2 linked regions of the Diceros bicornis minor genome follow. The protein of the gene in region 2 interacts with the protein of the main gene of each other region in a biochemical or structural test. Links are inferred from orthologs where the notes say so. Each region holds a gene or a part of one and is shown on either strand. Other genes may lie near its edges. The genes, in order: MEF2D and CABIN1.

Region 1 (15,799 bases), on a different chromosome or scaffold from region 2:
GGAGGCGGGCGCAAGTTCCAACCAGCTTCTCCTCCCATTCCATGCCCCCCCCCCCCCCAGCCAAGCTTCCTCCCTTGGGCCTTTGCATTTCCACAGAGGCTCCTACCTTTTAGCAGACAGGGAAAGTCCTCGACCCCTCCCATCAGACAGGGAAAGTCCTCGACCCCTCCCATCACCCAGTGAAAGATGCTTAACCTGGTCTTTCATCCCCTAGCCCCTGCCCCACCGCCACATGCCCTCAGAGATAGTCTGAGTGTGGCACAGGTGCCCACCCACACACAATCACAGCATCCTGGAGAAGGATCACATACTTACACACTCATTAACACGCTGACTGGGTGAGGAGTACATCCCTCCTCTGTAACAGTCATGAGGAGGATGGGAGAGGGAGCCTTGAGCTTTGTCCACCCCGCTCCTTCACTGTCTCCCTGCACCCCCTTGGTGTAATCAGTGCCAGAGACCCCTCCTATGCCCTCCAGGTACACAGCCTCTGGTTGCTGAGCAACGGCGTGCCTCTTCCCCCTAGCTCAGCAACCTCCCCTGTAGCTCTAGTAGCAGCTGCAGCAGGGAGAGCCAGACTGGACCTCACAGGAACTACTGCTGCTGCTGCTGCTGCTACTGCTGACAGAGAATGTGTGGGAACAAGCCCCAAAATAGGCCTGAGTGTGAAACCCAAGGTTCTTTTTTAACGCCCAGGTCCCACACTGACTCTTGGAAAGTCCTGCCATGCTCCCCTGTCCCCAGCTTCTGCCAGGTGCCTTGTTCCCCCACCCATATTGGGTGTCTTAGCCCACTTGGGTGCTCTCATGTGTCTGCCCTTCTCTCTGCCCTGGGTCTCTGGATCTGCCCCTATGGTCTCTCCCTCTCTTGCGCATCAAGGCCTCTTGTCCTTTTGTCCATCCCTTAACTCCACATCCATGTGTGTCTGTCTCTGAAGTCTCTGTGGCTGCCCCACCCTCTCTTGCAGCCCCTCATGCTCAGACTGTGTAACTTCCAATCTCCCGTTCATTAACAGGAATCCCCTCACTCCCCAACTCCAAGGGTCAGCACTGTGATAATCCAAAGTTGCCATAGCAACCATGACCACACCCCCTGTTACCACATTTCTAGGAAAGGCCTGTGGTGGGAGGGGTCACAGAAGAGGCCCCCAGGAGAATCCTCCTTTCCTCACAGCCTGCCCTGGGTTTCAGCTTCAATGGAAACTGACACTGGACTTCTGGACAACCAGAAGCCTAGGCCCAGAAAAGAAAGAAAGTCCTTCCTGCAGCCTTCCTACCATCCCCTCAGCTACAATGTCAGAGTTCCCAAGAGAAGCCTCGGAAGAGGCTCAGCACCTGCCATGCTCAGGAACCTGCCCTACCCAGAACAGAGCTCCCCAGCCCCCAGCTGATAGAGTGCCCTCCAAGGGCATGGTATCCATCTCCGGGTCTGTGTCCACCTGACTTGACCTCTTTACACTCCCTGCCACCACACCTCCCTCAGTCCTGGATGCTTGGCTGTGACAATACTATCTGTGGATTAAGAACCAGGACTAGGGAGCAGTCAGCAAAGAGAAAACGAGGGGAAATACTGTCAGAGTAAAGGGAGGTGGGGTGGAGCATAGCTCCCAGGCAGGATAGGGTTGGAGGAATGCTGAAATGCAGGCACGAGGGAGATTTAGGGAGGGAGGCCTGGATTCTGCCTTCTAACAGAGGAAGCAGGCAAATAGCAGATGGAAGTTTCAGGCAGGAGGCCGGACCAAGTGACCTCACCCAAACCCTGTGGTCTGCTGCTATTGTAACCTGGCGAGTCTCCCGGCTCTCCTGGGTCCCCAAGTAGGAGAGCTTTTTATAGTTCACTCCCCAACTTGGGTTTGAATAATTAAAGAAGATGGACAGAAATAGCAGCTGGACAGCAAAGGCAGGTTATTTTGGGGTTTTCTGGAACACAGAGCGCTCCTGGGCGTCACCCTATCCCTGCAGGGGGCGGAGTCACCATCAAGGCCGATGGGAGATTCCTGTGGGGGAACCCACCCGCACCCCCCAGGGTTCCTTGGGTTGACAGGGTTGCTTTCAGCCAGAGGAGGGTCTCACCGCTTCTTTCTGGTCTTCAAGGAAGGCGGAGGGCTCTTGCTGCCTTCTGCTCATAGCTCCTCCTCTGGCAGGAAGTCCCTCTGTTGTCTGTCAGCGCTTCTACTTCAGAGATGGTGACAGATATTGAAAATCAGATCGATAAGCAGCTGCAAGACAGGCTGAACCAGGAGGAGGTGGCTACTGCTCCTCTGGTCAAGGAGCCGGAATCAGGTGGTAGGAGGTCTTGTCCCCCCTCACCCCTAGACTATAACTATCAGGAAGCTGTGGAGGGAAGGAAGGTTGGGGTGTAGGATGGCAGGCAGAGCTGGGGAGAGGAATTGGTAGAGGAACAGATCAGGCTCCAGAGAAGAAAAGGCCAAAGATAGATTAGTGTCTGGGCCAAGAAGCTCTGAAGAGGCAAGAAGCTCCCCTCTTCCAGCTTCCTTTTAGTGTCCTCTATTCCTGGCAGAAGTCCAGCCTCGGTGTCCTGGGACAGGGTTTTAGAGCTGAGCTGGGGATGTGGAGAAGTTGGGAGGACCTCCTCGGGTCTCCATCGCAGACCAATCATTTGTGGTTTGTTTGCATAATACTTTTGGTTTAACCACAGAGATTAGGGCCTCACCCCAATTCTACCTTGAGGCTCTACCACAGAACTTAAAACCTGGGGTACAGAGGGGGCATTTGTAATGTGTTCTCCCTTTGGGTAACAACTTCAGCGGTGGGTTTGGAGGTCAGATTCCAGGAAATGCTGAAATCATTCATTAATTCAACAAACATTTTAAAGCATCAACCATAAGCCTCACACTGTGTTGGTGCTGGGCATAAATTACAATGGCAAGGTCCTTGCTCTCAAGAAGCTCATAGTTTAGTGAGGGAGATGGCCATCTTAAAACCTACTCTCTACGATTATTGAGCACACACTATGCAATAGATACCATACAAGAGCTTCACAGAAATTGCTCTATTTAATCTTCATAGCAAGTCTATGGTCTAAATAGCATTAGCCCCATCTGACAGTTATTAGAACTAAGATGAAGAGACTTGTCCAAAGTTACTCAGCTAGTAAACAGTATAAATGGAATTGGAACCACGTTTACACGATTCCAAGGTCTGTGCTCTTAACCGCTGCCCAGTGGTCGCTAATGCACGGAAGGAAGATGCAGGTTCGTTAAATCATTAAATGCTGTGGGTGTTGAAAAGAGACTGAGATTGTCTCTAGCTGCAGGTATGTGCTATGCATGCTGGGTGGGGGTTGGCGGTGGGGCAATCAAGGAATGCCTCCTAGAGGAGGTGGCTTTGCACTGGACTCCATTCATGCTACAAAGACTTTAATTGAGTATCTACTAAGTGCTTTGTTCTTGGTGCTGCAGATACCAAAGTGAACAAAATCCTTGCACTATGGACATGCTGGACAGGGATAGAGGAAAGGCTGAAATTATAATTAGGCGAGTCTTAAATGCCAAGTCTCCTTTACTCTCAGAGTTGTTCTGCTCCTCCTGGGTTTCTCTCCCAGGCACAAATACCCAAACTTCTGGCGAATCTAGAGTAAAGGCCTGGCCCTCCTACTCTGGGAAGTTCTTCCTAACGTCTATCCTGCATTTCTTCCAGTTCTAATAAATTTCCCCACCTCCCATTTCATTTCTCTTTTTCAAGGCCAAATCTCACAGCAGTAACCGGGCAGGCCAAAAGAGTCTGGCCCTTTAAGGCCACCTTCTTCCCCCCACGTGCCGTCAGGTTGGGCTGGCGACGCTGACGCACGCGTGACGTCAATGGCAGCTGGCGGAGTCTGGGCACGAGGAGCAAAGTTGGGATGGGGGTGGGGGGCGAGAGCGTGAGGGCGGTTCATTTGCATTTAAAGGGGCCACTCCCGGGTTAGTGATCAGGGCTTTCAAGAAATGTGTTTCTGGCAAACTTTCCGTCTTGGGCTATGGGGCAAGAAAAAGGCGTGGTACAGCTGAAGTCGGTGGTGACTCGAGTTTGCGATGTCAATTATGTCCTTCCGCGGAAAGGGGAAAATAGTCCGTCGGTGCCTGGGCTGGAAGCACGTGACCTGGAGGGGGCGGATGGGGGGGGAGAGGGAAGGAGGGAGGAGCTGGGGAGACGACTGTCAGGCTTCGTTTCAGCTGCCCCCACCCCCACATCCTGCCCACCCTCCTGCAGCTGCCACCACATCCTGCCCAGTCGGGGGCAGGGAACTTGTAGGGGGGGCACTGACCGAGGGCCCGGCTTTGGTACCCCTTCCCTGCCCCCTTTAGTTCCAGGGTGGGGCCTCTGCCCTTTGCCCGGGGCCTGGCCCCAGGCACCCGGGCACTAAGCTTGGGGCACAGCTCTGCCAGCACAGCCTTGGACACCTCTCTGCCTGACTACGCCGCCACCCTCCACCCACTCCCCCTCCCCAGGGGGGGACTTGTCCGAGCCCCAGATCAGAGCCCCATCCCTGGGCTAGCACAGTTATCAGTGGACGAATAGAGGTATTCAGTAAAGTTTTTACAATCTTAACTCGGATACACAGCTACACACATACACATATACAGATTCATGTAACGGATATCTGCTGAGCACATCCCATGCAGGGCCCTGCAAGGCTCTGAAGACCCAAAGTTGAGTTAAACTGCTGCCCTCAAGGAGCTCAAGATCTGGTGAAGAATAATATTGGAAACCAACAATGTCAGTACCATATGGTGTGTACTGATGAGGTAAATACACAATACAGAGCACTATACATAAGTAGAGGCACAGGATGACACACAAGTCCACACGGAGAATGTATACACAGAAGGACCACCAGTACACCGGCTGATGGCCCTTCCTGTCGCAAGCAAGGTGGAAGATGTGGGGAGAGATTGGTGGTCTTGACTGGGATTATTGGAAAACTGGGAGGAAGAATGATCAGCCAATGGAAGGGATGAGATGGATGGTGCTGGGGGGTGGAGATAGCAGCCATAGAGCCATACAGAGGCTGAAAGAGCAGGAATGGCTTCCCAGAGACATGGAATAACAGGCAGGAAGAGAAGCAGCCCTTGAGGATGAAGAAGACCTCTCCAGATTAAGTTGGATTCGGGAGGCTTGGGGAGGCATGAATAAGGGGAGCTGTTGGTGTTCTTGTGCCATGTAAACTTGGGAACTTGATGCTTGTACAGAGGAGTTTACACACACTTTTTAGGACTTTGGTGGGCATCTGTCTGACTCCTAGGGGATTTTATAGCAACTTTGGGCTGTTAGATGATTTTTCTCTAGGAAAGATGGGTTGGTAGCCAGAAGTGGAGAAGGAAAAATGAGACCCAGGTGTCTAGTCTGCTCAGGCATTTTCCGCCTAAGAGGATTCTAGGACCGCTGGTCCAGGGGCTAGAAGAAAAAGATGCAGAGTTAGTTTCAGGAAATGTTCATTATAAACTAACTTCCAGCAGCATTATTCCCTAGATCCTTCCCTGTCCTTCATGGAAATCAAGACCTCATGTTTATAACTTATCCTTTCTCATGAAGTTCTCTCTAAATAAATAAATAAATAAATAAATAAATAAATATTCTGTCTCCCTTGTAATATCAGCCTTGCCTACTCTGTCCTGCACTGTTCTCTAGTGAATTATCATTTCAGCATCTCAGGGTTCAGGACACTCCATCTCCCCTACTGAGCTCTTCCCTCCCCTCCTTTCTCCCTCCTGCTCCTGGCCCTTTAACACCCTCCCAGGTGACTCACCTTCCTTCCTCATTCTTTTGTTAAGGACCCAACATTCCACGGGCAGGGAGGACTAGCTGGCCAATCACAGCCCTGGCAAGCCTGCCTTGGGCTTGAGATTGGCTGGAACTGTGGTTGGCGGGAGACTTACCATGCAGAGCTATAGGAGGTTGGGGAGGGGGTTTCTGGTAATTAGTCCTGGGAAAGAATTTGTTCTGGGGCTGCTTATGTTTTTGGAGAGAATCCTTCAAGTGGAGCTGGGGCCAGAGGGGTCTCTGGCTTGGAGAGCCTCAAAACTAGAGGCAGGCGGAGAACTCAGTTCTCTTGGTCTCCTGCTGGCTTGGGTGCCCCCTGCCCACTTTGGTTTTGTTGTATGATCTGGGACCCAATGGTCTGAAGGCTGAATTCCCAGGCCTGTTCCTAAGAAGTCTTTTCCAGCAGCCTTGGATCTCTCCAGTCTCAACATTCTGCTTTCCCGACGTCGGAAACAGCCGGAAAATAAACACCCTGATGACTAAACGGTTTCTCCAGCTAGAGCCTGGGGAAGCACTAAAAATAGAGGCCACAAGTGAGGGGAGGTTCCCCACTTGAGGGAGGGGGGGCACTTTCCCATCCTGCTACTGCCATAGCCCCAGGCCTGGCACAAGGCTCTGTTCTTCTCCGAGTCCTTGGGGACAGGGCAGATGGCTCCCCCTGCCTCCCCTGAAGTCCTTCAGGCAAGCTAGCTCTGCCTGGCAAGGAAGGCTGACATCTTCTGGTGCTGGGGCCCCATCTCCCAGATCCAGTGGGCAACTGAGAAGCTACATTTGGGGACAAAGTAGGACACTTTAAATCAGGTTTCCTGAAGGAGAGGCCAGGTGGAAGGGTTGGAAACTGAGGCCAAGGAAATAGTTTGCTGGCTTCTGGTCTGGGGACATACAGGACAAGCCTCCAACCTGTTTGCAGAGCAATTCCACTGAACTTGCCTCCTTTGAGGCTTGTATGGGATAATGGGCCTAAAGGTGTCTTTGCAAGTCCAGCCCTTGAGTTATTATAATGCAGAATGAGGCACCATTCTAAGCAATTTACTTGTATGAACTAATATAATCTTCACACCAAATTTATGAGTTAGGTACTATTATCACCATCTCCATTTTACCCCTGAGGATCATGAGGTACAGGGAAGCTAAATAATGTTCCTGTGTTCAGTTAATAAATGGTGGAATAAGGATTTGAACCAAGGCAACTTGACTACTCCAAAGTTGACACTTCTAATCACCATGACATGCTGCCTCTCTTTGTATATATTAGTCTCTTCGGCATTTAACCCAGAATCAGAGTCTTTGTTCAGTAAATCAGACCCAGCCAGATAGAAATCAGGGTGTGTGAAGAACTGAGTGCCCTTCTGTTCTGCAAGGTTCTTTGAGATCTAAGCCAGATTCCATCATTTCCTCAAGCTCCAGGTAGAAAGCAGCAGGACTTGGAAGTAACAGTAATGCTGGAGAGCAAATGTGACGGGACATTTATTCAGTAGGCTGGCCCCTAAACTCCTGTTGTAGGACACATAAAGATTCACCACACCTTGGGGCAACCAGGAATTTCTAAATTTTACATTTTTTGTAAAGAGCTACTACTGCTTCTGTAACAAAATGCTTTTGGGCGTTTCCTGTGCTGGGGCAAATTAGGGTCCCGCCCCTTTAAATTGCCCCCCTCGGCTGTAAGTGCTCTGGGGCCCGCAGGCACTGGGGATTAGGTCACCCAAGAAGTATGAGCTGTAGCTTTAAATTGCTGGGCGTCTGCCGAGCCGGGCCCGGGGAGGGGAGGGGTCCTGTCACAGGTAGAGGGAGCAAACGAGCTCCCCAGGTAACTCCCCAGGAATGAACGTGTCCCTTTAAGTGGGGCTTCGGCACACATTAAGTGGGGGAGATGGAATCTTTTCACCACTTAGCGTCTACCCTCAATTTATCTACTTAGACTCCCACCTCCCAACTCTCCGGGGGCCTGGCGGGAGGGGGGTGGGGATGTCGAGGTAACGTGTGTCTGTGAGAGTGTGCGCGCAGCCCGCGGAGCCTCCCCAGAAAGGACCTCCTTGAGCGCGTGGTGGCAGCAGTGTTAGGCGGCCGTCCGGCGAGCTCGGAAGGGCTCCACGGGCGCAGGCCGATCCCTTTAAAGGCCTCTGGGTCTCGCCTCGCTACTTCGCCTGGCTCCGTCCCTTCCTCCCTCCCTCCCGTCTGGCGGAGGGATCTGCCGCTCCCGGCGCTGCAGCCTAGCTTTGGAGGGCGGTGGGGTGGGGGCCGACCCGGCCCGGCCCGGCCGGCCCCAGGGAAGCGAGGGGCGGGGCCGCGTCCCCAGGACCGCCCCTGCTCCGGCCCCGCCCCTCCGCCCCCACGGGTTCCTCCCATTGGCCCCCCCACCTGTCCATCACCCCCGTTCCCCCACCCCTCAAGCTAGGCTGAGCTGTGCCTACGTCGGCCTCGACTCCTGGGGGCTGGAGGAGTTACCTTTGGAGCCCGAAAGGAGGAAGGAAGCAAAATATCAACAACAGCCGAGGCGGGTCGGGCGCTCGGCCCCGGTCCCCTGCTTGCCCGCCGCCCGCCTGCTCGCCCCCGCGCCCACGACGGGGGCCCAGGCCCCCCGGCGCCGCCCAGGGCCCGCGCGGACGCCGGCCTCATTTATTATTCCCCCCGCCCGGATCTGCGGCTTCCCAGTGTTGAAGATCTCTCGGACCAGGGGCGAGGTCTACCCCCTACCAGCTGTGACACCCCCCTTCCCCCAGCGGGGCCGGTGAGTAGGGAAAAATAATGCGCCTGCCGCTTTAAGAGGCCCCCTCCCCCACCCCGTCCTGGGGTTGGGGTGGAGGGTGGTCTAGACCGTCCCCCTGAGGGGTGGGATGGGGTGGCCTCCTAGGCTGGGAGGAACTCGCGGAGCGGGCTGTGTTTTCGTGTGGCGTTGGTGGGAGATTACATGGGGACTGTTTGTGTTAGGGAGTCGGCTGTGGGGGACAAGTGAAGTGGGCTGTAATTCTCTTAGGTGTTGGGGTCGGGGTGGGCTTGGGGGCGCGCTGGTCTGTTGGTGTCTAGGGGTTATGACGGCCTCCGAGTGGTCTGGGAAGGGGCGCCATCCTCAGAGGGGGTCTCCGGTGACAGCCAGGAGCGACTGACATTTTAACAGCCGGCCCTCCCTCCCTCTCCCTCTTCGCGCCGCCTGTTCCCTCCTCCTTGGCCCGAAATGGTGCAGAAGGGGGCCTGGGAGGGCGGCGGGAGGGTGGGGGCGGGGGGAGCCGCAGCTGTTTGGGAAGCGGGGGAGGGAGGGGGGATGTTGTTCAGATGACACCGGGGTGGTGGGTTGGGGTGCGTGAGTGTGTGTGTCCGGGGCCCCGGGTTTGCCGGGTGCCTGTGAAGTTGGGACGCGGAGTCACCACGGAGGTGGACACGCAGGACCCTTCCTTGGGATCTCTTAGCCTGCTTCCGAGACCCTTGATCTGGTTTGTCAGCAGCCCCAGCTGAAGAACCCCCGGCCAGAAGTTTGCAGCTGTTCAGCATCTGGGCAAGAGTTCTCCGGCCCCTCTCTCCACCTTTGGCAGGCTGAACTGGGCCAAGAGTGGGGGTCTGGGGAATGTTGGAGGGGCTTTGGGGGAGGGAGGGCCAAGAAGACTAGAATGCATCTAGTCCCTCACCCCAGTGCCAGCCCACATTCTATCAGGTTTGGGTCTTACAGGGTTTGGGGAAAGGGTCTCCCTCCCTCTAGTAATTCAGACTGACCTCTCAGCAGATTCCTGAGGTCTCTCCCCATAAAGGAGGGCTGCTGGGTGTGGGCACACTTGGAGCCACTGACTAGGTTATCCCAGGTTTGTCCTTCTGAGTGGGAGGTTCTCTCTGCCTCCCCTTAAGCAGTGCATTGTTGATGGGTTGGGGGAGGGCACAGTGGGTGGATCCTGTTTCTCCTACCCTGTGCCCAGCCCCACTCTTGAGGTCTCCTTGTAGGCCTGGTTTCTTTGGTTTGGGGGAAATCAAACGCCCCTCTCCCCTCTCCCTTCATTGGGTCTCCTAGGCAGTTCAGGGGCCAGCCTGGACTATGGGAAGTTCACCGTCTGGGGCGGTGACCTTGGGCTGTTCTGGCCTGGAGATAGGAGGGGAGCTCAGGCCAGCACGAGATTGGGTGTTTTGAAGTTTGGGAGCTGTTCACCTCCCACTCTCCTCCAACCCCCCAACAGGGAAGTCTTAGTGACCAAGGAGAGCATTGAAAAGGCACATGTTAGTGTTCACAGATGTCTGCCTGCCTGTGGCCACTGGGTCACACCCGCCCCAGGACTTAGCCTGGCTGTCCCAGCTCCCACGGCCTGCCTGGGAATGAATTTCCTTCCTGTGGTTTCCCAGTGTGTGGGGCAGGAGATGGGGGTGGGGTGGGATCAGTGTGAGGGTTGCTGAGGACCCATTTGTATGGGGTGATTGGGGGACACTGGAGCTTATGTATAGCTCTTTCCCCACTTCCCCCACACAGGCATTTGGACCGTTGGGTCTCAGTGGTCATATTTTCTTTGTTGTAACTCCTCTACTCTGCCAGCACATCTCATATGTGTTTGTATATGTGTATGTAAGTGTATGTATGTGCATGTACATTTGTAGGGGGAGGAGTCTGGGGAAAGGAGGAGCTTTCCCTCATGCTCCTTTAGATACCAGAGAAGTCGAGCTTTTTACCTGAGATCACACAGCAAATCTGTGTTAGAGCTTTAGTCCCACTGCCACTAGTCTTTCAGGCACAGCTTCATAGTAGGAAGAGACCGTAGGAAGGAAGACACAATCCTTGCTCTTGGAGGCCTTGGTCCAAGGGGAGAAGCAGGACCCAGTCAGAGAGCATCATAACCCTTGTGTTGGGGGATGGGCATGGGAGATTAGGCTGGAGCTTCTGTCTGCTGTACCCAAGGCCTGGAACAGAGTGGCAGAGGACTTGGAAGGGTAGCGAGCGCTGACCATTGTCCACCTCACTCTGTATCTGCTGCCCCTGGGCTGAAGGGGCCTGGGCGTCCCAGTTCTGCCCTGCTTGGCTCCTGGCTCATCTTATAGGCTGGGAGATATGATAGTCTTTCTGGCTGCTGTTATATAATCTCTCTCCAGCAGGTTTTTTTTTTTTTTAATCTTCTCTGGGTCTTTCCTGGGAGGTGTGATGAGGGGAGAAGGTGGAGGGTAAACTCCCCAGGTTGGGGGCTAGAGGACTAGTAGCAAAGAGGCTGGGATAGACCCCCTGGTCCCTGAGAGGTAGAGGGGAGAGGAGGCCTTGGAGTTAGACCGTGACTGATTGTGACCTAGCCCCTCCCACCCTCTTCCTCTGACCCTGCCCTGGGAAGGTCTCTCTGATGTGGGCATCCCTGGCCTTGTGCCCTCAGAGAGGCCTGCCCCTCTGCTCATGCTGTCAACCTTCACCTTCTGGCCAGCGGGGCCCCCTGCCCTCCCTGTTTGGCACTGGGTCCGGAATCTCAGTGCTTACCCTGGCCTGGTGTGGGTGGGCCCTGTGTTGAACACTCTGCCACCCAATTCTGTACCTCTGCGGGTGCAAGGGGAGGCAGGGATAGATGAGTGGGTCCAGCATTTCCCTAGTTGTATTTGGAGCCAGGCCCCTGCTTCTCTGCCCCTCTAGTCCAGAGGGTGGTGGCCTTATTGGAGAAGACGAGTTGGTGGGGTGGGTAATAGAGGCCTCGACCTCTTGGGCACAAGTCATGGTTGGTGTTCACCTGGGTTCTGTCAGTTTATATGAGGATCAGATGTGGTCCTGGAACCCATCCTCAAGTGTCAGATTCTGGGTCTTGTGGCATGTGGTGGCGGGGTCTCCCCACCCCTTCAGGCCATGGCTGGGACTCTCCAGGCTCTCTGAGGCCAACTGGTTTGCGGCAATTATCTCCCTTTAAAGGGAAGAAAGAGATGGTGGTGGGGCCGGCATAGCCTCAGCATCACTGTAATTGCTGGTGGCTTTTATGAGCCAGGCATGGGGCCGGAGTCCGGCCAACCGTCTGTCCTGTCCCAGTTTGGTTACTTACTCGGGGGGGAGGGGAAGGTGTTAGGTACTAGCAGCTCTGCTCTGGAAGCTGGACACCTTGCTGTGCTGCAGTTGATGTCGCCTTGTCTGTCCACAATTGCAGCAGGCAGGCTGGGGCTTAGACCTCAGGAAGAACTTCCCAGTGGAGCTAAATGGGAGAGAGAGAGATGGCTCTAACTTGGCCTGGGAAAGAAGGGGGTCTCAAAGCACTTTCTTCTCCAATGGCTCTTGGTGGCTTTGCTGAAAGGCCTTGAACCTTGGCCTCGTGGGGATGGTGCTCTTTGGCTCCTGGAATATTTATTTTCCCTTCTCTTCCCCTGCCTGAGGCTGAGAGTCTTCTGGGGCTGTGGGGGCTGGGTGGGGGTCTGTGCGGACGGGCATGCCCAAATGCACCTGGCAAGTCCACAGCATTTCGTGGTGGCAAACACGCATGAAGGTGTGTGGCACATACACACCAGTGTGTAGACACCCACGGAGCAGCTGCCGCCCTGTGGGGGGTGGGGGGGTAGTGAATGGCAAAGATGATTAAAGGATTGGAGACTGGGGATAGGGTGGGGGGACTGGAGGCAAGAATGTGAAGGGTGTGCAAGCACTCTGGAGAGAGAAGGGTTGACTAGAGCAGGAGGGATTGAGGTTAGACCACAGACGGGCAGACCTAGAGTGTGCCTTGTGAGTTGAGGAGCCCCGGCTGACTTGCATCACTACCCCTCACAGCCCCCTCCCCCGCATTTATTCTTCTCTGTGGTCCTGGCCCAGCCTGCCTCTGCCCCTCACTGACCGTGTGCCCTTGGGTAAGTCAGCTTTCTAGATGTGCAGGAGTTTCACCAAGCCTTGTGGTGATCAGAGCACCCCGGTGTTTGTTGCTGGTCTCTGTTGCCCTCCCCACTCACCCTGATGAGCGAGGCCACTCTGAGGTGTCAAGATTACACCTGAGCCCTCAGGCATTTTGGGGCAGATCCCTGGCCTGGGTGATCCCCAAGGCCCTTTGCATCTCATTTTTACTTTCCTGAGGCTGCTGCTACAACCTGTCCTTCCTGGGAGCCTAGCCCTGCTTCTGGCCCGGCGTGGAGACAGGGGGATGCATTCGTTGATTCTGCACAGGACCCCCATAGCCTTGGGGAGGGGAGGCGGTGGTACCTGCCCTGGGTCTTTCTCCCTTCTGCTGTAGGGTGGGAGGGGAGGGGCTTGTCTGGAGCTCTCGCTTGTTGCTAGCCACACCCAGGCGGGACCATATTTACTCATTTAAACTCACCCTCCCAGGAGGCTCTGGGCTCTAGGCCTGGTCACTGACCTTGGCCTGGTGCCTCTGGCGGAGTGCTCTGGCCACTCCCCTAGGAGTTGGGCAGACCAGGGAAGCATATAGAGAAGGAGCTTTTTTTTGGTCAAGAGAGCTTTACCCTCAGGCAGTACCCACTCTCCCTGTTTTCCAGTATACTTTGGAGACAGAAAACTAAAACTTTTCAGGTTCCTGGGGACTGGAAGAAGGAAACTTCCATTTGCTGAATCCCTGTGTGCCCAGCTCTGTACTGCGCATGGAAACGTATGGAGACTCATTTATTTCTCTCCACAACTGTTTTTTATATTTGGGGAGACTGAGTCAGAGATTTAAGGGACTTGCTCCAGCTTTCCCAGTTAGGAGGTTGAGGGAAGGCTCCTGCTCTGCAGGTGGGGCAGTGGAAAAGGAGGTCCAGGGAGACCGGCGAGAAGGAGCAGGATTTGGTGAAGGGAAGAGCTAACCTAGTAGGATTCCCTGGCAGAGGGCAGAGGATTAGGGTTTGGTGGCAAGTTGAGGGGGGATGTGCTTTCTGAGAAGGTATTGTCTTCTGATTGAGTGCCATGGGAGAAAAGCCCCAAAGCAGGGATATGAAGGCAGGAATGGATGACACTCAGAGACCCCTCCTGGGTACCCGTTAGTCCCCCCTTCAGCTACCAGCTGAGATGCATGAGGAGAAAGACTGGAGCGGGAAGACTTGAGCCACGAGAGTCCTGGGCTTGTCTGAAGGCAAGACACAAGGCCGAAGTGAGCCTCCCAGGTCCGGAAATTAGGGAATCTGCGCTGGAAGGAACATGCCGTAACCCTCAGGTGGAGGGAGGCCCTGCCTGCTCTCAGCCCGGGTTGTGCGGGGAAGCACTGTGCTCAGAAGTCAGCCCACCTCTGCCGCTTATTCCAGGTGACCTTGGGCAAGTCCCTGCCCACCTCTGAGTTGGTTTCCATTTCTGTGAAAGAGAGATGCCTCACTGGGAAAGGAAGGTGGTTCAAGGGGAAAATGTGTGGTACTCCACACAGAGGGGGTGCTTAGAAAGTGGGTGCCTCCTTTCTTCCAGACATCAGCTCCAACCCTAAGCAGCCACCCAGAAGCTGGGGTGAGGTCAAGGTCCCTGGGTGGGGACTTGGTGTGGAGGGGGACTGAGGAGGCCCTGAGGAGACCTCCAAGCCTGGGGCTCAGTCTGACCCTGGGATGGGCTGGGGAAGCTGAGTCCAGCCCTGCCCTCCCCAGCCAGCTGTCTCCTTGTCTCAGAACCTACCCCCTCCACACTTCGTCCCACGACTCTTAACAAGTCCCTCTGGCTGCATGCTCACTTACTCCTCAGGATTTCACCACCCCCACCCCGCCAGCAAATACCTGGAGTTGAGGGTTGGGAGAATAAGGAAAAAGAGGGAGCTCATCTCCGAAGCTCAGGGGAAACCACACAGTGGGAGTGGCCGTGGGTGGGCAAAGGAGGGGTCGGTCTCTTTGCCTTTGCGTGGAGTCTTCCACTCCAGCTGGATCAAGTAACATGGACACAAGGGGGTGGAGCAGATGACCTCGAACCTCGAGCTTTTCTCCTTAAAGCACACATGTGTTATGTGTATGGTGAGGGACGATGGTTGGAGGTAGAGCAGGAGGAAGGGCTGATCTTAAAGGGGTGCTCAGGCCTTCTTAGTCACATCTCTCCTTGACCTCTGGGCCCCTTTCCTCCTGCCCCCACAGCTGCCTGCCTCTCTGCTGACTCCCCTTTGCATACCCCATGGCAGGCCTGTGGGGCCCAGGCTGACTGGGTGGGGACAGGTGTCCTGGCCCAGCTGCTCCCTCTTGTCTCCCCCACCTGTCAGCCCAAGGGGTGGGGAGCTGATGGGGAGGGGAGAGGAGGAACCTCTTGGCCCCTCACCTGCTCCCTGGGGTGGGGCCCTGCTTGTAAAGTACAGCAGAAGGATTGAGAGTAGACAACAGGCAGGACTTCCCACTCAGGGGAAGGATAGCTCCAGATCATAGGAATGGCAGAGAAAGCTTGGTAGGCAGGGGTCCTAGCTGGCAGAAATCAGAGGGGTCTTTGCATAGTGGCTTCATGAAAGGGTGAGGAGCACAAATCAAATCAGGGGGCAGGTATTTGCATAGCTGTGTGCAGGTACGCCCCCCCCCCCCGACTGGCCGCCTGGCCCCCTTCCATCTGGCTGGGCATCTTAGCTTCACCTGGCACCTGTCCTGAAAGCAGCAAGCTAATCCTGTAAGAGCTGCCTGGCCGGCCGCCTCAGCAGGCCCATGCAGCCGCACTGCCCACCCTCCCCTGCCAGGGGCTTAGAGGACTGTCCTTCGAGTCAGAAGGGGACCTGGCCGCCACCCTGAGCGGCCCCTTTAAATCCTGCGTGGCTTCCTGAGGTCATGATGTCTCTAGGAGGATTTGCTTTCCCTGATTGGATTGGCCTCCTTCGCCCCCCTGGCTGTAATTGTGCCTGGACACATCACATTCTGAGCCTCCACCTTCCCTTCCATCAGAATTGGTGCTGGCCTGTCTGAAGACCCAGGCCTCAGGCCCCCTGCCCTCTCTCCTTGTCCTCACTTCCCAGCAGCCAGGGCTCGGACCCCCTGTATCTGCTTCAGCCAGAGCAGCCCTGCCCCTGTTCTGTGGGAGGGAAGAAGGGATCTTGCTCTTTAAATAAGGGGTGAAACCACTGGCCTGGAGGAGAAGGCCCTTCTGAGACTGTCTACTGCCTGCTTTTCTCCACTTTTTCCTCTTCATCCTGCTCTTCCTTTGGCCAGGGGCCCACACTCCCTAGTTACCCCATGCCCTCATTTCCATGGGA
Region 2 (16,175 bases):
GCTATCAGACAAAGTATAATTCAAGCCCAAAAGTATGAAATGTGACAAAAGGGGCAATTCACACCGAGATATAACACTTCACATACACCAAATAACAGAGCATCCAATTTTAAGAAGCAAATACCACAAGAGATGCAAGCACACATAGACAGAAACACAGTAATAAGAGACTTTCATTCGCCACCCTCAGTACAAGACAGATCAAGTGGAGAAAAAATAAGGAGACAGAAGATCTGAACAAGAAAACAAATAGAGCAGAACTTAGGGATGTGTATCAAACTACACCCTACTAAGAAAGTCTACGTGTTCTTCTCCAGTGCTCACAGCAAATCCACAAAAAAAACTGATCGTGTATTAGTTCACAAAGAAAACACCTTCTATAAAGGAAAAATATTAAAAACAACACTCCCTGAACACAATACATTAAATCTAGAATTTACTAACACCATCATCACCAACAGCAAAAGAAAGGTCCTTCTATCTAAAAATTTAAGAATCTCCTATTAAACAACTTCTGGGTGAAAGGAAATGCAACTAAAATTGGAGAAATCTGAAGAAATACTAACAATGAAAACACATATCACACATGTGAAAATACAATGAAATCATTTAAGGGGCAAAAAAATCACATGATTATCTCCGTAGAAGAGAAAGCCTCTGACACCCAAGAAAACAGAAATTGAGGGATACTTTCTCAACAAGGTAAAATATATATACCTTAGTCCTAAAACCAAAATCTTATTTACTGGAGAAACACTAGAGGTATTTCCATTAATATCAGCAACAAAGTAAGTTACCCATCATGTCTGCTACTACCCACCACTGTACTAGGAGTATTAGCACTGCAGTTAGAAAAGGGACACCAATTAGAGGAATAAGAACGGGTAACGAAGAAGTAAAACTAGCATTAACTGCAGATAATATGATAGAGTACCTGGAAAACCCCAAAATCAATGATAAAACAATAATAAAAGGACTCAGTCAAGTAACACAATATAAAATTAACATACGAAAATCAACAGCCTTCACATACACAAAGAGAAGACATTATGGTGAGAAAAATACCATTTGCAATAGCAACAAAATAATTAAGCACTTAGGAATCAAGTTAACAGAAATGTGCAACCTACGCAAGGAAAATTTAAAAACGCTACTGAAAGATACTAACATAAACTTGAACAAGTAGAAAGACATCCTCTGTTCTTGGACGGGACTCAACATTATCAAGATGTCAGTTCTCCCTAACTTAATTTATGAATTCAATGCAATCCCAATAAAAATACCAACAAGACACTAGACAAGATGACACTAAATTTCATATAGACAGACAAAAATGTAAGAATAGCTAGGAAAACAGTGAAAAAGAAAAGCTACAAGAGGGGATGAGCCCGACCGGACATTAAAACATACCATATAGGGCCTTAATAATTAAAACAGCGGTACTGGTACATGCACAGACAGAGAGAACTGGTCCAGAATTAGACTCAAGTATATATGGAAATTTAAAATATGGCAAAGGTGGCATCTCAAATCACTGGAATCAAGATGAACTTTGTAACAGGTGGTGTTGGGACAAATTAGTAGCCATTTGGAAAAAGATAAAATTAGATCCATACCTCACACCATATACATAAATAAACTCCAAGTAGATTAAAGATCTAAATGAAAAAATTAATCTATACAAGTACTAAAAGAAAACATGGATGAATTTCTTTTTAACTTTGGTATAGGGAAAGTCTTTCTCGCTATGATTCAAAATCCAGAGGCAGTGAAAGAAAAGATTAATAAATTTAACTACATAAAAATTTTTAAAATTTTGCACGACAAAAAAAAAAATCAAAAGTCAAAAGACAACTGATCATTTGGGAGAAAATACCTGCAACCATGTACCACAGACACAGGGCTAATATTTCTAACACATAAAGAGCTCTTAAAAACGAAGGGACACAGCATTATTCACAATAGCCAAAAGGTGGAAGCAAGCCCAGTGTCCATTGACAGATGAATGGATAAACAAAATGTGGTGTATTCATACAATGGAATATCATTCAGCCTTAAAAAGGACTTTCTGACACATGCTACAACATGGACGAATCTTGAAGACATTATGATAAGCTTATGAAATAAGCTAGCCACAAAAGGAAAAATACTATATGATTCCATTTATATGGGGTACCTACAACAGGCAAATTCATAGAGACAGAGAGCAGAATGGCGGTTGCCAAGGGCTGCAGGGAAAGAAGAATGGGGAGTTATTGTCTAATGGGTACAGAGTTTTAGTTTGGGAAGATGAAAAACAGTTCTGGAGGTAGATGGTGGTGATGGCTGCACAACAGTGTGGATATGGTTAATGCCACAGAACTATTTAAAAATAGTTAAAATGGTACATTTCATGTTAAGTGTATTTTACCATGATTAAAAAAAGAGAAAAAAAACCCCGAGGGACAAAACCCCCAAAAATCTGATAGAAAAACAGGGAAAAGATATGAACAGACAATTCACAAAAAAAGACATACACATGAAAACATATGAAAAAATGTTCAAACTCACTCATAATTAGAGAAATGCAAATTAAAACAGCACTGAGACACCATTTTTCACCTATCGCACTGGCAAAAATGAAAGTAGGACAGCACACTCTGCTGGGGAGGTTGTAGGGAAACAAGCAGTATTCTCATACATTGTTGGTGGGAATGCAAATACAGTCCCTCTTGAGGGGAATTTGACAATAGGTAACAACCTTTCAACCCAGCCATTCCACTTCTAGGAATCCACACTGAACATTCACCTCCAACAACATGAAAACACATATGCACAGGGTTATTCACTGCAGAACGGTCTGTAATCGCGCGATATTGGAAACAACCTAAATGGCCATAGATAGTACAGTGAATGAATAAACTATGGTACATCCACACAATGAAGTAATATGCAGCTGTAAAAATTCATGAGGGAATTTCACAGCAGCATTATTCAGAATGACCAAAAAGTAGAAACAACTCAAATGTCCATCAACTGATGAATGGATAAATAAAATGTGGTATATCCATACAACAGAATATTATTTAGCCATAAAAAGTAATGAACTACTGACAACATAGATGAACCATAAAGACATTACGCCAAGTAAAAGAAGCCAGTCACAGACCACATATTGTATGATCCCATTTATGTGAAATGTCCAGAACAGGCAAATTTATACAGACAGAAAGTAGATTAGTGGTTGCCTAGGGCTAGAAGAGGAGATGGGCAGTGACTGTTAATAGATACAGAGTTTCTTGTTGGGGTGATAAAAATGTTCTAAAATTGATTGTGGTGATGCTTGCACAACTCTGTGAATATACTAAAAAGCACTGAGTTGTACACTTTAAATGGGTGATTGTATGGTCTATAAATTATATATCAATAAAACTGTTTTTAAAAATGAATAGGATCTCTATGAACAGATATGAGGTGATTTTCCAGACATACTGTTAAGTGAAAAAAGTAAACACAATTATCTATAGCATGCCGCCTTTCATATGAGAAAGAAGAGGATATAAGAAAATACATGACCATCTGTTCATTTGTGCCAAAGAAACACAGAGAGGATAATCCAGGTTCTAAAGAGATCACTTAGCTATAGGGGGTGAGTGGGAAAGGGGTGAAAAGAAGGGGAGAATGGAACAGGGTGGTAGGGTGAGGAGGAGGGACACTGCTCTGAGAACACCTTTGTGTATGGCTCTGACTCTTAGAACCACAGTCATGTTTCACACTCAAAAAGTAAACAATTGAAATCACCTAAGATCTAGGGGGAACCCCAAATGGAATATACTAACAATGAACCTACTGTATTACAAATAACATAACCACACTGAAGGGCATAAGGAAGAAAAGAACTAACCTAAGCAACCGTGGAAAACAGCAGCCTGACTGGATACTATAAGGCTAAAGACAAAAAGAACTGTGATTCCAGGGTTGGGGCAGAGAAAATACAAAATGAGCCTAGAACATCTTGCGGTGCCAGAAAGTAAGCAAGTGCTCAAAAAATTGATGAGGGTTTGTCACAGCTAACCTCAAGGAGATCCTAAATAGCCAAAGCCGGAACAGTGAGCAACAAAATGATGATAATATTAGATTCTGACCCATAGAATACAATGAATATCCATGGCGTCCATCCTGACACAAATAATAATCAAATAAATAAAGGAGAGAAGGGATAGCTCTTCCTTCAATTGAATTTCAATTAATAAATGTAAAAGGAGAGAGAGAAATAGGAAATTACCTTTAGGCAAACAACACAAAGATCCACAGGTGGATGCTAAGGTCAGTGAGTGTAAATCTGTGAGAACCGGAATTTGCATCCTCTCAAAGTATCTCCCCAAGACACTTACCGACTAGAAAGGGAAAGAGAGTGACTTCACAGTGTAGAAACCTGGCAACACCAACTGAATCAAGTGATCAAGGTAAATATCGCCAGTAATAAGACACAACATCATCTTCAACTCCTCGATATGATGCACTGAGAAGAACACCATGTTTGTGTTGTTCTGGCCAAAAACACACAACGTCACTCCAATCATGAGAAAACACCAAACATACCCAAACTGAGGGATATTAGACAAAATAACTGATCACTACTCTTTACAAGTAGAAGGCCAAGACAAGAAAAGACCACGTAACTGTTAAGCACTAAGGAGAAATGACTTAACGCAATATGGGATCTTGGATAGGATCCCGGAATGAAAATAGAACACTGGTGGAAAAACAGGTGAAATTCGAACTAGGTCTGTAGGTGTGATAATAATATTGTACCAATGTTACTTTCCTGTTCTTGATAATTATACTATGATTATATAAGATGTTAACCTGAGGGGAAGTAGGTTGAGTGACCTATGGGAACTCACAGTATTATTGCTGCAATATCTAAATCTAAAATTAGTTTAAAATAAAAAGTTTAAAAAGAAACAACCATCTGAGATTATGTATTTATCATCTGTAGCAATGTGAGGATGGGGACCACATCTGTATTGTTAACCACAAACCCACTAAAAGGAGCTTAAAAAAAAGCAGCTACTGCATATACATAAGAAAGTATCTACTCATTTCTCGGACTCGCAGCCCAGCAGTTGCACTTTCTCAGAATAGCGCATTCAGGAGTTCAATCTTACAAGTTTCCAAATTCCTCAGAGCATGGTTTTCACGGCCTTAAGAACACACGATAAAGAAGAGCACACTCTGAGCATCTCATACCCGGGTCCAGTGATGAGCCGTGACGTCTCCTGTGTGCTCTGGCCCGGAGCCGGGAAGCCTAGGTCTGCAGCTCAGGGTGGCACTACCAGGCTGTGCCGCTGACTTGCTCTAAGATGCCCCTCTCCGAGTCTCAGAGTAGGAAGCTCTAAACTAGACCAGGCGTCCGTCCACAAGCTAATTAGCCCACAGTTTTTGTACAGCCCAGGAGCACAGAATGCTTTTTACATTTTTAAGTGGTTGAGAAACTTCGTGACACATGAAAATTATATAAAATTCTAATTCCAGTGTCCATAAATAAAATTTTATTGGAAAATGGCCACTCTCCTATGTATTGTCTTTGGCTGTATCCACAGTTGACACCAGAGTGGAGTACACAGAGTCTGGCCCACAAAGCCTAAAATACTTACTCTTATAAGTATGATTATACTTATTATATTCACAACATATTACAATACTATTCCTGGGCCAGTCCCGTGGCTTAGCGGTTAAGTGCGCGTGCTCCGCTGCTGGCGGCCCCGGGTTCGCATCCCCGCGCGCACACGACGCACCGCTTCTCCGGCCATGCTGAGGCCTCCTCCCACATACAGCAACTAGAAGGATGTGCAGCTATGACACACAACAATCTACTCGGGCTTTGGAGGGAAAAAATAAATAAATAAAATCTTTAAAAAAAATACTATTCTATTATTATATTTACAACAAAAGTTTGCGGGCCCTTGAAGCAGCCCCCTCTGAGGATATTTCAGTTCTAACCACGGTTATGAACCACACGGAAGGCACCCTGGCCGCCCGGGAGCCGACCGTCCCACGGCCACGGCCTGTCGTACCCAGGCCCCAAGACTGAAGTGGCGCCCCCAGCCGCTGGAGCAGACACCTGCGAGCGCCGGCAAGCTCCGCCTGGCCAGGCCCGCCCCGGCCCGGGAGGCAGCGCAGTCAAGACCGCCGTGGGGAATCGGGCTGCCCCCCGGTTAGCTGGGTGACTTTGGACGAGTCCCCGGACCTCCCGGCCTCGGTGCCCTCCCGGTAAAGGGCGATCATCACAACACTCACCTCGCAGGGCTGCTGCGAAGGTGAAGGGCAAGGACGCGAGTCAAGGGTCAGCGCCGGTCTCGGCCCGGGCAGACGCGGGATCAATGGCGGCTCGTGCTGTGGTCCCTGAGACCACTCCCGAGGCCGGGCCCGTCCTGGCCCCCGGGGCGGCGGCTCGCCGTGAGGCGGCCCCCGGGGCGGCCTGGAGGCCCGGCCTCGTCGCTCCCGCGCTCCGGCCTCGGTTTCTCCGACGGCCGCACCGAGGCTGCCGGGGGATCCCCCAGCGCCGGCCGCCCCTCAGGCTCGCGCCCCCACCCCGCCCCGGCTCCGCAGAGTCGCGCCCCACCTCCCGGGGGCCGCCCCCAACCCGCGCGTACACCCGCCCCACGCTCCCCGGCACTCACCAGGCATCTCCACGGCAACGGCCCGACCGCCCCGTCCCCCGCGCCGGCCGGCTGCGCGCCTGACAACAAGGCGCGCTCCCATTGGCTGCGGTGCCGGCTCCGCCAGCCAATCAGCGAGGCGCACGCGCTGCTCCACCGCCCGGCCGGCGGGCTGCTGGGCCCCTGCGGGTGGCGTCGGGCGCCGAGCCGAGCGGCCTGAAGCGCATCTCGAACCTCCGTGAGTCTCCGCTGTGTGCGCGCGCTGCTGTGGGCTCGGAGCGCCGGCTCGCGGAGCGGTCGGACTCCCGGCTCCACCGCTGGTAATACGTGTGAAGAGTCGGGCTCGGTGCCTGGCCCCGAGCAGTCGCCAAATGACGGGCTGTGTTATCGTTGTTACAAGCGGGACAGGTGCTCTGAAGGCAGTGGAAACGTGGGGAACGTTTAGAGGGAACCCGGGGAGGAAGAGTCGTCTTCTTCATATTACCTGTGCCTCACCTCTTTCCGAAAAGGATTTGAAGCCCAAAGGCACAGATGCAATCAACTAGTGAAACAAAGGGGGGAAAAACCCAAAACTCAGAGACCCGGGAAACGAGGGAGTGACAGCATTCCAGAGCCGAGAAGAGGGTCCCGCACGGAAGGGTTGCCGAGCGCGGCTTCAGCTTCGGGCTGAGAGACGTCACGCTCTTGGGAGCTAAGCGTTTTGGGGGAGGCCTTCACCCTGTGGTTGAACCTCATAGCTGCTGGAGTCCAGCAAGGATGATTTAAATAGCAATGAATGACATGACTTTCTTTTTGACTTTCAAGACAGTAAAATCCTGGTGAAGAACTCATAGAGTCAGTTCAGTACAAGAAAGCTTTACTGATATGCCAGGAGGTACAAAAATAATTGAGTCACTAACTTTGATTTTGAGAGGCGTACAGCCTTGGGGGACAGGGGCAATGAACAGAAGCATAAACAGATGGTTTCAAAGTTTCATGGATAACATGCAACCTAGGGTGCAGCCTCCACCCCCAGTTGTATCTTGAAAGGGGCTCTGGAGACAGTCTGAGACAGTCGAAAAAACATGAGAAGGGTGGTCCAAACAGCAGGGAGCTGTGTGGCAAGGGTTTGGCGGTGAGAAAGAGTGCAGGCCACAGGCAGAAGCCTTGGGCAGCACGGTATTGCCAGGGGACAAAGCTCAGGGCCACAACGGGGAGATAATGCTGGAGAGGGGGGAGGGCCAGTCCCCACAGCAAGCAGATGACATCCCTCTCACTACAGTGGGGTGAGAGATTTAAGGTGGGGAGACCAGATTGGAGGCTGTTGCCTTATGGTCCTGGCAGGGGCTAGGGCTGAATCCCTCCTTGGGCACTTCAATCGCTCTTTTACATACAACCCACAAATATTCCCTGAGCCCCTCTGGGAAGCAGGACACCCATGTTGGCGGAAGGAATGACTGCAGAAACAGTTGGGACAGGGAGCCAGGGGAAGGAATTCCAAGCTCTAGCTTTTCGTGAGTCTTCAGCAGTGGTCAGGTACAAACACAGCAGGCAGAGGCACATTCCACTGGAAACTAACTTTGTTAACTAGGTGGACTGCGTAGACTGAACATCTCCATCTGGTGTTTCACTGGTGCACTACAGACAAGGATGATCAAACCTTTAACTGTGCAGGGAAACACAGCACCCACCACAGAGTCTTAAGACATGTAAACTCTTCATTGAACATCTGGAAGGAAACTGAAAAGGACACTTCCTCTGGGCTCCCCCCACCCCACCTGTATATTCTCTGAAATGCAAAAGCATGACATGGTATTTTGATGGGGGGGCGGAGATCCCATTCATTCACTTTCTAGTGGCAGACATTGCCTTTCCAGGTTTGCCATTCTGGGACATGGATTTTACAAGGTGCACAGCTACAGAGAATTCTCAGCAAGACTCATGGGAGAAGACGGAGTTTGGCAACGCCCAGGAAAGGTCTCTGAATCCCAGGCTGCCCTGCTCTCCTGCTGGGCACAGCAGTCCCCTTCAAGGGGAGGGAACTGCCCAGACCAGCCCAGGCTGAGAATGGAAACATCTGGTCAGCAGAGTCTGCAGGAAGGCCCAGGCTAGAGCAGGCTGGCAGCCTTCCCTACCAGCCTGCACATGGGCATGGAGAGCAGGGCCTCCAGGCTGAGCCCTCCACCCTCGGATTTGAGCAGCCTAAATACAATACATGAAAGAGCGGCCCTGAAGACAGGCAACATCCCACCTCCCAGGTTCCCTCAAGTCCCCACCTCATTAGCCAGCCCCTCTGCCCAGGATGGCCCAGAATGCCAGGGAGGGGTAAAAGGAAGTAAAGAAGTCGTGTCTGAAAGACGAAGCTCTCTTCATTTATTAGAATGAGGATGGGGAAGAAGAGGATTGTGAGGTCACAGGCATGTCTGCACGTGGGGGTGCCAGAAGCTGGTATCCACCAAGCCCTCACTCTGCCAGAAGGCTTCTGTGGAAGGGGCCGCCAGCTCACAGATGCCCTGGATGCTCTCCATGCCAATCATAAAAAAGTGACGACTGTCCCCTTCTTGCCAATCTGCCAGGGCTCCAGGGGGAGAAAGCGCATAATTATCCTTCAGGAGACAAAGAAAAAGATGTCATCAGCTCCTTGGCTAATTATTCCAAGACCCCTAGCCAGGCATTCCCACCATGGGCTCCCCAGCCAGCCGGCCTTAGCCCCCCGGGCATTTGCAAGCCTGCCTCTCCTCCCAACCCCCAACAGGGCAGTGGGCCTGTCAGGGGCGGGGTGGTGGCTGCACCTCATTGTGTCCCACCCAGGAAGGCTACTCAACACAGCAGCCTCTGTGGTCACTGTATGCCCTGTCTATGGGCTCAGAGGGCAGCCCTCCCTCTTCCAAACTGCAGGCTCCCAGGACACCCTTGGGGGGAGTATGTGTGACCACCTCAAGTTTTCTCATCTGTAACTAGGCATAATGGAGGTATCTACCTCATGGGGGTGGCATGTCTGCATGAGCGGGTGTGCAGAGGGGAACAGAGTTTGTAAGGATCAAATGGGATGATGCCCGTAAGGCACCTATAGGGCACCTGGCGCGTGATAAGTATTCGCACATTACTTATTGTTGTTAGAATTATCGTCTCTCCTCACCTTGAGGACCAGGTCCGAGCACCTCCCAGGAGTGACCATTCCTCACCAGCCTTTCTGGGCCAACAAAGGCTCCATTCTCAAAGGTTCTTTCAACCTTCTCATGCCCTTAGATCCTCACAGGCATGGACTGGGCTCAGGAATATTTTTCGCCCAGGAAGAAACTTTAACCTTGCCACAGGATCCCAGGTTTGGGAGCTGTAGGGGCTTCCTGGGGAATCACTGAATCCATGCCTCTCTATTCACAGAAGAGAAGGCTACAAACCAGAGAGGGTTCACTTCCAGGTTTGTCTGGGTCCCCAGCTCTGCTAGACCCAGAACCCAGGCCTCCAGACATCTGGACCAATGCTCTTACCACTACTCCGTGACCCTCCTGGGAGCCTTACCTAGGACCTGGTTGGGCCACAGGCCCAAAGGCCACAGCCTCAGGACATACCCAGAATTCCACCTCACCAGGCCAGAGAAATTCTCCAAGAAAATTACTCTTGATTTTCTAAGATGTAGGCAGCTGATATGGCTATGGCTTTGTCAGATAACAACATCCTAACCTGCCAGGTGCGGAAGCAAATATAATACATTGCCATCCCATGCAGTGTCCCCAGGGAGTGGTTAAAGGAAAGGCTTCCCCCTTCACAGATGGAAACACAGAGGTTTAAGAGGTCACGCCTTGCCCAGGTGTCATAGGGACAGCTGCAGAGCCAGGAATTCATTCAATTCTGATACCACTCTGAAGGCTGACCCTCCACCAGGGGGCCAGAGAGGTCAAGGGTCAAGTCTTCTGTAGTGCCAGGAATTTATTTTTTCCCCCAACTTTAGGAGGGGCATTGAGGTAGGATCACTATCCCCCGGTGGCGCAGCAGTCCAAGAGGGTCCTCTCCCTGCTCCTACGCACCGGTCCTGGTCCAGGCCCAGTTCCTTGGTGAGGAACTCGAAGAGGCGGGCGCTGTGGCCGCGGTTCTCCTCGGCCGTGCCCACCACACCGATGGAAGAGACGAGCAGCTGCGCGCAGGGCTCGGTCGAGCCGTTCACCGCCATGGCCAGGCCCGGCCGCACCGTCGCGTTCACGCGCTGCGGGGGACACGAAAGAAGCCGCTGTAGGCCAGGCTCGCTCTGAGGACAGAACGGCGCGGGGTCGGTCCGAGACGCACGGGCCCGTGGGATCAGGACTGGGGGCACCGGCCGGGGTCCCTGGAGGTCACGTTGGGGTCATGGCTGGGGAAGGCGACACGGAGCAGACGTGGGGAGTGTGGAGAGCGGGAGGTCAGGGGTCCCTGTCGGTCACGGTGGGACAGCCGGGGCGTGGACAGAGCCCGACCCCTGGTCCACCGACTTCCCCCAACCCGGTGCTCCCAGGCCCACGCTCACGTCCTCGGGTTTGCCCAGGATGGCGGCGGCGGCCGCGCAAAGCCGCTTCTCTAGTCCTGCGGGCACGCGGCCGGCGGGCAAGTTCGTGTCCAGCTCAAGGAACGGCATGTCTAGCAGGAAGGCGCGCAAACCACCACCGCGGAGAAAGAACGCGCGGAGTCCGGGTCCATGTTCCAAGGGTCAGAGACTAGGGGGCAGGGGCGGGGCGCCACGGGAACCGGGCTCCTCATTGGATGGGCAGGCAGGCAGCGCCCCCCGATTGGCTGCCTACCCCGGCCCGGCCGACAACCTCGGCGTACGCGGGAGCTGATTTCCGGAAGTCCTGCCGCCCCGCCCACTCCGTGTAACCCCACCCCCAACGAGGCGTCGGCCGAGGCTTGGCCCCGCTCACTGCGCCCCAGTCCCGCCCCCCCTGCCGCCACACTGGCCGCGGTTTTCCGTCCCCTGTGGCTTTCGGGCGCTGCGGTGTCTGCTTCCTGGCCCACATTTAGATGGAGGTCTGAACGCCCCGCAAACACACACGCCGTAGGGGCGTTCCCCAGGCTCGACCCTAATAACGTTACATCGTCACAGAGGCTTAGCAAATGTTGTTGAATGAGTTGCCATCATTTCAAATTCAGGCAACTTCACGTTCAACGTGGGAACCTGCGCTTCTCTTGATCAGGAGACCTGGTGACACGTGTGGGCTCGGGTAGGGCTGGCCAGAGACCCTCGGGCTCACTGCATCCCTACCTGGCCCCCACAGACGTCTGCCTTTGTGGCCTCTTGTGCCTGCGGCAACCTCGCCTCACAGTGAAGTACTGTCCACCAGGGGGTGAGAGCGAGCCAGGTCCTGGTCGACTTCCCAGCAACGTTTAGGGTACCCTACCTTTTTGTAGGCAAAACAAAAGGTGTTATTTAAAACGTGGACATCTGTTGAAAAGGCTAAACAGGGTGCTCTCATCAGTACTGCAAAGTGGTTTGAATTGTAGATGAAAATATAATTGTGTGGGTGTATATGAACAATTTCAATTACACATCTAAAATTCTATATAAGCGGGCATATTAAAGGAGCCTCCACAGAAAGGCAGGCGGGCGGGAGGCTCTGTCTGGTCATGACCCTGTCCCATCAGCAGTTTATTAGATGACTCAGATATCAGAGGGTCTGGGACACAAGGCAGGTAGGTGGTGACAGTCCTGAGGGGAAAGGACAGGGACAGGTGGCAAGTGTGGGACCCACAGTGGGGCATGGAGAAGACAGTGGTGGGGTTATGAGGAGGCAGGGGGGTTCAAGGCCACTGGGCAGCACCCGGGGGCCAGGAACTAACCTGGGACTTCCCTCCCTGCAAGGAGGTTCATGCACCAGGCCTGCACCCCACCTGTGGGAAAGAGTGTCACCCAGAGGGAGAGAGACCTAGGAGACTGAGGCCTGATTCAAACCTGATTCTTCACCGGGTCAACCTCCATCTGTGCTCAGCTCAGGGGGCGTGGAACCAGCTCCCTGCCAGGACTGAGGGGGGAAGCACTGGGCTGAGGAGCCCAGACGGGATCACCTGACTCCCCCAGGGGCTGGGGAGGTTGGGGAAGTGTCCCTGGAGAAGCCACATGGTGACACATGCGAAAAGGCCCGGGGGGGCACCACGCAAAGAAGGTGAGGAGGCCTCTGGAAGCAGTGGACACAGCCTGAGCCAAGGTTAGGAGGCTGAGGTGGGAGCTGGGAGGGCCGGGAAATGATGGGCTACTGTGTGCAACCTGGAGGGGGTAGCCCGGAGGGGTGGGCGCAAGGCTTTGAATGCAAAGTTGAGTAACCTGTATTTCAGCCTCAGGTCAATGAGTCACCGTGGAAAGTTTCAAACAGAGAAGGGACAGGGTCAATATGTGTTTATTAAAGCTCTCTCCAGAGGGCACATGGAAGTCAGAGTGTAAGGGGTAAGGGAGGAGACAGACAAAAGAAGGAATGCAGGCCTGATGCATGGAGGGAACCGCGGACCGGAGACTATGCAGGATCTCTTGCTCACAGCCAAGGAGAGGCATCTCTTTCTTCTGACGACAGAGTCTCCTTCGTTGTCGCTGGCTCTGCAGGCCTGGCCCCCGCTCATTGCAACAAAACCTGCGCCAAGGGCCTCAGCTTCTCCTTCACGGCCGGGTCCAGTGGAGGCAGGTCCTTGGTCTTCATGAGGACTGCGTGGGCCTCCTGGAAGAGGTCCTCCCCCACCGTGGCCTCCACGCGCTGGCGCCACGCGGCCAGCTTGGGTCGGCTTTTAAAGACTTGGCAGCCGGCGCTGACGGGCTATGGGGAGAGGGAGCCGGGCGGGGGGCTGAGCACGGTCAAGTACAAGGCAGCATGACCTGGTTAGGGATTCTTCTGGTGGACTTTCCCTCCTCTGCCACACCAGTGGTAGGCTGAGGTTCTCTTCCAGGAGACACTGGGAAGCTCCTCAATATCCCTGCAGGATTCTGAAGCCCCATTTTACAGATAAGGATGCTGAGGCTCGGAGGGGGAAGTGACTCGCCCAGGGTCCCAGGGCCAGAAAGGGCAACATGAGCTGGTACATTGGCTCCCTCCCAGGATGCCCCACTGCCCACTGGGCAACCCGACCCCTCGGCACTCACATGCATCAGCTCTGTGATGGCCACCAAGTCAGCCACTGAGATGTGGGGCCCGGCGAGGAAGGCCTGGTCCTTCAGGAACTTGTCCTCAAGCAACTGCAGGCACCTGTCCAGCTCGGCCAGAGTAGACGCCAACGTCTCGGGGGGCACTCGTTCACCCAGTAACACAGGGCCCATCAACTGGTGGGTGGGCAGGCAGACAGAAGGCTCAGGGTCTGCCCCAAACCCACCCTGATTCCTGCTCTCATCCAGTCTATCACCAATCCTTCAGGTTTCTCCTCACTCCAGCCCACCCCCTTCTACCCATGGCCACCATCAGTGTCATCTCCTACCCCAACAGGGACAGCCTCCACCTCTCCCTGGTCCTCACACAGGGCCGCCAGTGGGGATCCTTCTGCAATCCAGTCTGCCCTGGTCTTCTCCCTGCATAAAGCCTTCCATGGCTCCCCACTGCCCTCACCAGAAAAGGCCTCAACACAAGGCCCTCACCAGTGCAGCAGCCATTATCTCCCCACCCCCACCTCCTACTCCACTCCAGGCTTCTCAAATGGGAATGTGCATGCGAATCCCTCTGGGGTCTGGTTAACAGTGCACACTCCTAATCAGTACGCCTGGGTACTGGGGCCCGAGACTCTGCATTTCCAACAAGCTCCCAGGTGATGCTGATGCTCCTAGTCCAGGGATCACCCTCTGAGTAGCAAAGGTCTACACTCACTCGACTCGACTTCTCTCCATTCTGCCCTCAAATGCACCAGGCTCCTGCCCCCACCAGCTTGAGGGGGCTCCTCTCCCAGCCCCTAGGGGCTCAAGGAAGACACTTTCAAGGTTATGGAAACCTACTTTTTGCCAAATGGCCCTTCAGAACAGTGGTGCCCTCCCTGCAGCAGGGCGTGAGCATGCCCGTGTCATGCTCCCTCACACACAGGACACCCACTTCCTGCCGGGCACCATGTAAGCACTCTGCAAATAATAACTCAGAGGACACGTTTCAAAACCCCTGCACCTTTGATAAGGAACAATGGTACGTGCATGCTGCTTTAATGTGCACTGACTGGATTTTTACTGAGGTTAAATGTGTTTCCGTCCAGTTATTGACCATTTCTCTCTCTCCTTCAATTAAATCTTTGCTGGTTTCCTTTGCCCATTTTTCTCTCGTGTCTTTGTCTGATGGGTTTCTAAGAATATCTTAAATATTAAAAACGTTATTTCTTTCTAATATATCTTTGCCAAGATCTTCCCGATTTTCGCTTGTTTTAAGTTTAATCCTTTTTTCGTTACACAAAACTTCATTGTTTGTGTAAAATCAATTACTCTACTTTAAGTCTCCCACTCTTCTTAGGCTTAGAAATCCTTGCCCACCCAGAAGGCAGACCGACATTTCTTGAAATGTCTCCTCATTTCCTCCTAGTTTGAGTTTTTCACTTAACTTGACCTCTCCATCTGGAGAGTCTATGTGTAGCAAAGTGAGGATTTGATTTTTTTCTCCCCCAAAAGGCAGTCTTCCCAGGCAGCTGGGAGTGTGCAAAAGGGCAGAGGATTCATTTCCAGCAGCACCTGGGGGTCAGTCCCTGGCTCTGTGCTCAGGTTCCCCTCTGAGAAACAAGTTGAAGTCAGTTAGCCTAGGGAGTCTGCACTCTAGAAGTCAGTGTTCTACGGTCTCAGGTCTGAGGGCATGTTTTAAACAGAAAGCACCATTCGTGGAGCATCCTGGGAGGGGCCCTGCCCCTCGCGTGTGCCACACGGCCCAGGTGCAGCTCACCTTCTGCCACGTGGCCCGGAGGCAGCTACTCCGCAGAGCTGTGTGCTGCCACGCCAGGTACTCATCCACGCGGGCGCGGGCCTGCAGGTCCTGGGGGTACCAGTGGTCAGGGGCCTTGTACTTTCGGCTCAGATACAGCAGGATGGCCACACTGGGGGACATGGCAAGTGCAAGGGACATGCCCCAGTCACTTTTCAGCTACTCCACAGGGGCCGGGCTCTGGGTGAGGTAGGACCCCCCTCCTCACATGTCTTTCCCCAACTCCTGTGGGTGGAGCATTTCACTATCTCCATGGTGCAGAGTAGGAATGTGAGGCTCAGAGAGATTAGGTGACTGCCCAGGGTCGCACAGCTCTACACTTAGCCATCCCATCATCTGAACTAAGGGACCAAGTGAAAAACAAAATCTCATGGGATTTCAGAAGGCGGGGGGTGTGCTCAGAGAACACTTCCATTATCGAAGGGGCACCCAGCCTGGGTCCTGAAGGATGAGGCAACTCCAGCACCACTCCCCAACATATCCAAAGCACGGACACGCCAGGAGCAAGGCCAGGGCCCCCTCCCAGCCCTGGGCTCCTCTGCCCACTTTAACCCACTCTCCATCCTGGGGCTGGCATAGGTGTTCAGGACACACAAGCCACAATCCAAGCCATCAACAGTGGACACACAGGTGGCTGACTGGCCCCACAAGGCCCAGCAGCAGC

Evidence for each region.
Region 1: the proteins of CABIN1 (region 2) and MEF2D form a complex in vitro, tested with the Homo sapiens proteins (2 studies listed by BioGRID). The link is inferred for Diceros bicornis minor from reciprocal best matches to the Homo sapiens genes CABIN1 and MEF2D.

Annotation. Positions count from the first base shown.
Region 1 is NC_080743.1:60,056,015-60,071,813, reverse strand, and holds the start of MEF2D (myocyte-specific enhancer factor 2D), read left to right. Parts: upstream 1-8,096; 5' UTR 8,097-8,490; intron 8,491-12,987; exon of another isoform or gene 12,988-13,907; intron 13,908-15,799. UniProt on the Homo sapiens protein: Transcriptional activator which binds specifically to the MEF2 element, 5'-YTA[AT](4)TAR-3', found in numerous muscle-specific, growth factor- and stress-induced genes.
Region 2 is NC_080774.1:28,580,829-28,597,003, reverse strand, and holds the start of CABIN1 (calcineurin-binding protein cabin-1), read right to left. Parts: upstream 6,707-16,175; 5' UTR 6,666-6,706; intron 6,492-6,665; exon of another isoform or gene 6,283-6,491; intron 1-6,282. Other genes in the region: DDT (D-dopachrome decarboxylase), read right to left, coding at 9,157-9,229, 10,652-10,869, 11,125-11,232; glutathione S-transferase theta-3-like, read right to left, coding at 13,199-13,393, 13,717-13,893, 15,473-15,623. UniProt on the Homo sapiens protein: May be required for replication-independent chromatin assembly. May serve as a negative regulator of T-cell receptor (TCR) signaling via inhibition of calcineurin. Inhibition of activated calcineurin is dependent on both PKC and calcium signals.